Linked DNA regions of Pelodiscus sinensis. The protein of the gene in region 2 purifies or fractionates together with the protein of the main gene of each other region. This does not show direct contact. Links are inferred from orthologs where the notes say so. Each region holds a gene or a part of one and is shown on either strand. Other genes may lie near its edges. The genes, in order: BCAR3 and BCAR1.

What was found.
Region 1: the proteins of BCAR1 (region 2) and BCAR3 purify together in Homo sapiens (co-immunoprecipitation; 4 studies listed by BioGRID and IntAct, counting the BioPlex papers as one, with this or other methods). This does not show direct contact. The link is inferred for Pelodiscus sinensis from reciprocal best matches to the Homo sapiens genes BCAR1 and BCAR3.

The regions. Positions count from the first base shown.
Region 1 is NC_134719.1:35,202,375-35,206,288, forward strand, and holds the start of BCAR3 (breast cancer anti-estrogen resistance protein 3), read right to left. Parts: upstream 2,333-3,914; 5' UTR 2,283-2,332; coding exon 2,193-2,282; intron 1-2,192. UniProt on the Homo sapiens protein: Acts as an adapter protein downstream of several growth factor receptors to promote cell proliferation, migration, and redistribution of actin fibers.
Region 2 is NC_134722.1:47,962,657-47,966,570, forward strand, and holds the start of BCAR1 (breast cancer anti-estrogen resistance protein 1), read left to right. Parts: upstream 1-1,118; 5' UTR 1,119-1,266; coding exon 1,267-1,278; intron 1,279-3,914. UniProt on the Homo sapiens protein: Docking protein which plays a central coordinating role for tyrosine kinase-based signaling related to cell adhesion. Implicated in induction of cell migration and cell branching. Involved in the BCAR3-mediated inhibition of TGFB signaling.

The DNA.
Region 1 (3,914 bases), on a different chromosome or scaffold from region 2:
CAAAGTTATCTACTTGATCTCACTTTAGTAAATGTGTCCATTAGAGCTAATGCTGAACAAGTGGCACTACAAATAATAAACGACTTGTCTTATCTTGCATGCTAGCAAAGTGGCAGTATTTCTTGATACATTTTAGTATAACAAATTGCAAAAGGTGTGGGTTTTTTCTTGTCTTTTCATGATTGCCTTAGATAAAGGGAGAGCATCACACTTCAGTTTCCTATGCTTCAGGCTCAGTCAGACAAGTAATTACAACTAAGTATATTGCTTACTACCTGGGGGTATGTCTACACTACCCCGCTAGTTTGAACTAGCAGGGTAATGTAGGCATACCGCACTTGCTAATGAAGCCCGGGATTTGAATTTCCCAGGCTTCATTAGCATAAGCGGGGAGCCGCCATTTTTAAATCCCCGATGCTTCGAACCCCGTGCAGCGCAGCTACACGGGGCTCGAACTAGGTAGTTCGGACTAGGTTCCTATTCCGAACTACCGTTACTCCTCGTGAAATGAGGTGTACCGGTAGTTCGGAATAGGCACCCTAGTCCGAACTACCTAGTTCGAGCCCCGTGTAGCCGCGCTGCACGGGGTTCGAAGCAGCGGGGATTTAAAAATGGCGGCTCCCCGCTTATGCTAATGAAGCCCGGGAAATTCAAATCCCGGGCTTCATTAGCAAGTGCGGTATGCAAACATTACCCCGCTTGTTCGAACTAGCGGGGTAGTGTCGACATACCCTGGCGTAGTTCCACAGGCAATAGTTAATAGAGCTACTCCTGGTAATAAGTATTACTCTTAAGAGTAGCTGCCTGCAGAATCAGACCCTAATGTTCACATGTCCACAGTAATGTTACTTAAATTTAAAATATAGTTTTATCTTTCCTTAATCCATTATGAAAACATGAAATCCCTGCTCATTTTGTCTTTCAGTACTAGTCACATTGTCAAAAGCTCTGCTTTCATAATTATATACAAGATATTTTAACAACAAAGGGTAGGCACAAAGAATTACACCACAAACATGTTCAGACCTTATATTGATCCTGACATGCGATCTGTGTATTCAGGCCTGCCAAAAGGGGGGGGGGGGGCAAAGGGGGCAACTGCCACTGTGGCAGTTTTAACCCCAGACCCTTTAAATAGTAGGTAGAGCACCGCATGGTGTGTGCCCAGTGGCTCTAAGGGCTGTGCCATGCTCCAAGCAGCACTGAGAGCTGGGGGGTGGGAGAGGGAGCCTGCTGTGGCATGCTCACTACCTCTGGCCTCACCCAGCCATTCCACCTGAGGCCCGGCCCCTTCTGGGGATGCAGAGCCGGCCCCCTCACCTTGCCCAAGGCCCTGGTATATCTGTTGGCTCCCCTGAGTGTATTTATGTAAAGTTATACATTCTCCTGAACGGTCCTGTCTTGCTCCAAGCAGAAGAACAGGTTGAACCTCTCTAATCCAGTACTCTCTAGTCTGGCAGCATCCATGGTCCTGCATGATTTTAGTTAGCTGGAAGTCCATTTATCATGGGTGTGATCAACTTTTCTGTGCTCCCATAAAGTTTGTTTACAGCCACCAGTCCTGGCTCTAAGTGTTCTGTGCTGTCATTTAGCTCTAATTTACCCCTAAATGTCTTCTAAAAATCCAGTAAGCAGTGGAAGTGTTGGTATTGCTGCTAGACAATATTGACCTCCCATGATCCAGCAAATTCTCTGGTTCGGCACCAGTCAGGTCCTGAGGGTGCTGGATAAGAGATATTCAACCTATGCTGAAAAACAGCTTATGTCTGGAAATGTACAAGTGAACAAAGTAATATTTATCAAGAATATTAAAACAGAGAAGTTCTGCATTTGTGGACAATAGACAACTGGGCTTTCAGTTAAAATAACATCAGTTGGGGAACTCTACCTTGAATTTGGGATTAGACTCAATAAGTAAAAAAGCCTTTTCCATCACTAGCTTTTGGGCTTTTAAAGCTTCTATAAATCCAATGAATAAAGGTAAAGAAAGTGTTACTTAGACAACACTTACTTATTCAACTCTCCACCAGAGCTCTGCTAGTCTCATGAGATTTCTCTGTTAGGATAAAGCTTCAAAGTTCTCATTTTCTAACTGGAAACCTGTCTGGTTTGAGACTAATTGTATCAAGCTCACTGAACCACTTGACACTTCCATGGGGATTTTCCTGAAAAAAAAAAAAAGAGTTTCTTACCTCTACATCATCATATTGTTCATCAAAGAGCATGCAATATTCTGGGAGGCCCAGCTGTGTTAGCCAGTTAGAAATGGATAGATGCTTCATAATCTGTTACTCTCCTCACTTCACAATGCCTTTGACACTGCAGAACAAAACGAACAAAAATAGCTAATGCTGAGCATCAGTAGAATTCCAACAGAGCACTTAAAACAGCCACTTTTGTAGCAAATGATCTCCTCTGATGTAATCCTCATTGACTCCAAAGGTATAAGGAATGATTTAGTCATTGTTTTGGAGCTACTGTTAATTATGTATTAAGGTTGGTTATGTTCAATTAAGATTGAAGGACAGAGCCTCAGCTGATGTAAATTAAAGTGAATGAATGGAACTATGATAATTTATGCCATCTGAAGATCTTCTCATACATCTACGTGTAATTTGTTAGTTTTATTTGTAATCTTGATGAAACAGGGCATAACAAAAGCTCAGTTTCTTTTAGCCTTCTAAGACATACAGGCCAACAATATAATAATATAATCAGCAAAAAATGCACAGTCCTTGTGTTCATGGAAAACATTGCTCAATATCTTTGTCCAGCCACTGTGCCTTAGTTTGTCTTTCATGCTGACTAAATTGAGCGATAAAATATATGAGAGGAAGGCAAGAGTAAATGGGACTGTAATGTGTATATGAATGTGTAGGCAGTGAACTGGACTGTGTAGTTTGCCGGGGACAAAGAATGAATATGATCCCGTGGTGTGTGTCAGAGATACACAGACAACCTGGTCACTCAGTTACAGAATATCTCATAACTAGGAGATAGAAGCTACTCCTTTGGCTCCGACAGGATTTTGGCTGGCTTTGAATTTGAGTCCTCTGTCAACAAGACCTCCCAGATCACTTTTTTCACCAGTTTCTGTCTTTCTGTGTCTGGGACTCTGTTTTGGTCTCCCTTTGCAAGATCTGAGAGCACACTACTGGGCCCATCTACAATTAACTGCTGGAGTGGAATACTGATTAATCTCTCAGATGGCTCGGTAAGGATTTGGTGCTCGGTAAGGATTTGGTCTCCTGAGCAGCAACAGCATCAGGAAGATTACCATCAACAGCATTAGAATCAGAGACCAGAAGAGCACACAAGAAACACCTGTAATTTATCACACGTTCCTTCATTAACACATCCACTAAACAGACAAACAATCCCACAACAGCCAATGGAGAATACAAAGGCTACGTCTAGTCTGGCATGATTTTCCGCAAATGCTTTTAACGGAAAAGTTTTTCTGTTAAAAGCATTTGTGGAAAAGAGCGTCTAGATTGGCACAGATGCTTTTCTGCAAAAGCACTTTTTGCAGAAAAGCATCCATACCAATCTAGACGCGGTTTTGTGCAAGAAAGCCCCGATCGCCATTTTTGCCATTGGGGCTTTTTTGCGCAAAACAGTTTTTAGCTGTCTACACTGGCCCTCTTGCGCAAAAACATTTCTGGAAAAGGGCTTTTGCTCGAGTGGGAACGTCAAAGCATTTGTGCAAGAAGCACTGATTTCGGACAGTAGAACGTCAGTGCTTTTGCGCAAAATCAAGCGGCCAGTGTAGACAGCTGGCAAGTTTTTGCGCAAAAGCAGTTGCTTTTGCAGAAAAACTTGCCAGTCTAGATGCAGCCAAAGTGTTTAGCCCTAAGACAGCCCTTACTCACATCTCCTGCTTGGGAGCCATGCACTGTCAGTCTCTATCTTGC
Region 2 (3,914 bases):
ACATACACGAACACGCACAGCCCTGTGTCTTTCTCTCTCTTACACACAGCCCCATGTCACACACACACACACTCACACAGTCCCATGTCACACATACAAGCGTCCCGTGTCACACACACACACACACCCCTGTGTTATACACTCGCAGTCCTGTGTCTCACACACACACACACACAGCCTCGTGTCACACACATCCGCATGAACACACACATATAATCCCATGTCACACATGCAATCACACACACAGAGCCCCATCTCATACACTCACACACACACAGCCCCATGTCTCAAATACACACTCACAGAGTCCCATGTCACACACGCAGTCTCGTGTCACACACACATACAGACAGGCAGTCCCATGCCACATACACACAAACGCAGCTCCATGTCACACACACACACACATACACATGCACGCAGTCCTGTGTCACACACATGCGCGCACACACAGCCCCGTGTCACACACTCACACGTGCACATGCAGCCCTGTGTCACACACACACACAGTCCCGTTTCACACACTCATGCACATGCAGCCCCATGTCACACACACGTGCACACACAGTCCTGTGTCACACACACGCGTGCACACACAGTCCCGTGTCACACTCACACACTCACATGCAACCCTGTGTCACACACTCACACATGCAGTCCCGTGTCACACAACCACAGGCGCATAAGCAGCCCAATGTCACACACTCACACATGCAGCCTCGTGTCACACACTCACGCGCACACGCAGCCCCGTGTCACACACTCACAGGCGCACGCGCAGCCCCGTGTCACACACTCACACACTTAGCCCCATGTCACACACACAGGCGCACATGCAGCCCCGTGTCACACACTCACACACGCAGCCCCGTGTCACACACACACACACGCAGCCCCGTGTCACACACTCAGGCGCACACGCAGCCCCGTGTCACACACACACACACACAGCCCCGTGTCACACACTCACACACGCAGCCCCGTGTCACACACTCAGGCGCACACGCAGTCCCGTGTCACACACTCTCACACGCAGCCCCGTGTCACACACTCAGGCGCACACGCAGCCCCGTGTCACACGCGCAGGGCGCCCCCTGCTGCCGGCGGGCGGGCGTGCGGAGGGCGGCGCTGGGGGCGGGCTCGCTGCCCAGCCCAGCCCAGGCGGCGCGGCGGCCAGTCGGCCGGGGGAGCGCTGGGGTGCGGAGCTGCCGAGCCGCGCCGAGCCGGGCCGCGCCGCCTGGGCCCGCGGCGGGGCCGCCGGGGAAGATGAACTACCTGGTGAGTGCCCCCCCCCCCCCCCCCGCCCGCCGCGGCCCGGCCCATCCCCGCCGCCTCCTGGCGCCGGCCCCGGCCCATCCCCGCCGCCTCCTGCCGGGCAGCCGGGCCCCGCTGGCAGCTCCGGGCCGCCCCGCGGGACAATGCGGAGCCGCGGCCGCGCCGAGCGCCCTGCCCCGCACGACGTGGCACGGAGCGGGCGGCCCCCGGCGCCGGATCGGGCCCCGCAGCGGGCCCGGGGAGGGTCATTCGCCGGCCCAGAGCCCGGCCGCGCCGGGGGCCTGCGCTGGGGGTGGAGCCGGGGCTGGGGCCGGGCGTGAGGCTCGGTGCGCGGCGAAGCGGCTTTGTCCTTTGCGGGAGAGCGCGACGGACCCCCCTCCCCCCCCGTGATGAGTTGGTTGGGTCTCAGGCCGGGCCCCTAGCTGCTCAGTCCCCCCCCCCCCCCCCCGACCCCTGTGTTGAATTGGTTGGGTCTCAGGCCGGGCCCCTAGCTGCTCAGTCCCCCCCGACCCCTGTGTTGAATTGGTTGGGTCTCAGGCTGGGCCCCTAGCTGCTCAGTCCCCCCCCCCCCCCGTGTTGAATTGGTTGGGTCTCAGGCTGGGCCCCTAGCTGCTCAGTCCCCCCCCCCCCCCGTGTTGAATTGGTTAGGTCTCAGGCTGGGCCCCTAGCTGCTCAGTCCCCCCCCCCCCCCGTGTTGAATTGGTTGGGTCTCAGGCTGGGCCCCTAGCTGCTCAGTCCCCCCCCCCCCCCGTGTTGAATTGGTTGGGTCTCAGGCTGGGCTCCTAGCTGCTCAGTCGTCCCCCCCCCCCCCCGTGTTGAATTGGTTGGGTCTCAGGCTGGGCCCCTAGCTGCTCAGTCCCCCCCCCCCCCGTGTTGAATTGGTTAGGTCTCAGGCTGGGCTCCTAGCTGCTCAGTCCCCCCCGACCCCTGTGTTGAATTGGTTGGGTCTCAGGCTGGGCCCCTAGCTGCTCAGTCCCCCCCCCCCCCCCGTGTTGAATTGGTTAGGTCTCAGGCTGGGCTCCTAGCTGCTCAGTCCCCCCCGACCCCTGTGTTGAATTGGTTGGGTCTCAGGCTGGTCTCCTAGCTGCTCAGTCGTCCCCCCCCCCCCCCCCCGTGATGAGTTGGTTGGGTCTCAGGCCGGGCCCCTAGTTGCTCAGTCCCCCCCCCGCCCCCCGTGATGCGTTGGTTGGGTCTCAGGCCGGGCCCCTAGCTGCTCAACCCCCCCCCCCCCCCCCCCCCCCCCCCCGTGATGAGTTAGGTCTCGGGCCAGGCCCTGGTGCTCGCTGGACTGGTGGCCCAGACCCGGCCGTAGGCTCCGTGCCCCGGTGCCAGGGCGGGCATGCACTGTCCTTCCCCGCTGCCGGAGCCGTCTCATGCCAGCAGCGGGCGCAGGTCCTGGCTGGCCCGAGGGGTGCCTGGGATGGGGGCCCCGCCCGGGGACTGGGTTCCCAGCCAGGGGCCTGTCCCAGCGGGCAGCCTGGCTGCGACCTGGGCATATGTCCTGAGCATTTGTTCCCCCCTAGGATCCCCTCCCCCAGCATGGGCCGCTGCCCTGCCCCGGCCCCTAGCGCCTGCCAGCCCCGGCTCTCGGGGCTCTGAACCAGGGCCTGGTGGCCAAGATGGCCCAGAGGTTCCCCGGACACTCGGCCCCTTCATCCCCCCGAGGGCAGGCAGGGCCGACTCTGGCTCAGGTTGGGCCCGGGGCTCGCAGAGGAAGTGACCTGCCTGGAAGTCGTGTGGCACATCCGGCCGAGCACCGGACTTCCCCGCCCTGCTCTCCCCACTGGCCGGCGCTCCCTCCCTGACTCGGCCCCATGGGACAGGGGCAGTGCCCCCTGCTCCCACCCAGCTGGCGCCTTCCTGGGTCACCCCCCGGCAGGGCCTGCACCCTGCGATTGAGCCAGGGTGCTCTGGCACTTGGCACCAGCCCATGACAGCCAGGAGGGGGTGTCACCAGGCACTGCCCCCTTGCTGGCCCCGGGGGCAAGGGAGGAGGCCCACAGCGCCCTGACCCACACTGGGCCCTAGGCTGCCTCTCCCCTCCCCCCCGGCTGTGTGGGTGCCTGGAACCAGGCTGTCCAAGCTGGGGGTCTGGCAACATTTGACCATCGGGAGCTGGGTCTGTGCTGGGCAGGGGGCCCCGAAGCCTGTTGGGGGGGCCGGATTCCCCCCCCCCCGTGAGATTTGCCACTGGCAATAGAAGGGGGGAGGGAGCCGTTGCTGGAGGAGGCCACGTGGTGCCAGGGGCCGGCGGGGGGGGAACTGGCACAGCCGGTGGCTAGTGGCAGAGCGTAAGTGCCCTGCCCGCCTGCGTCAGCGACGGCGTTAATGATTCACCCGGCAATCAGCCTTCGGCCTGGCGCAGGGCCCCGCGGGGGAGGGGAGCGACTCCTGTCATGCTACAGCAGAGCGGGGGCAGGGACCCCCCCCCCCCCCCCCCCCGCAGCACTTGGAACCCTTGAGAGGAGACGCCCCCTTCGGCCAGGGCCTGCCCCCTGGCTGGGGCCGACCAGGGCTGGGGGGGATCTTCCCAGGTGGCGGGGGTCACAGACCCCTTTGGCAGTGCCCACGGCGGGGGGGTGTCTCTGCGCTGTGGGAGCTGGTGACGGCTTAGCTGGCTGGTTCCCCTGCTGTGTTCG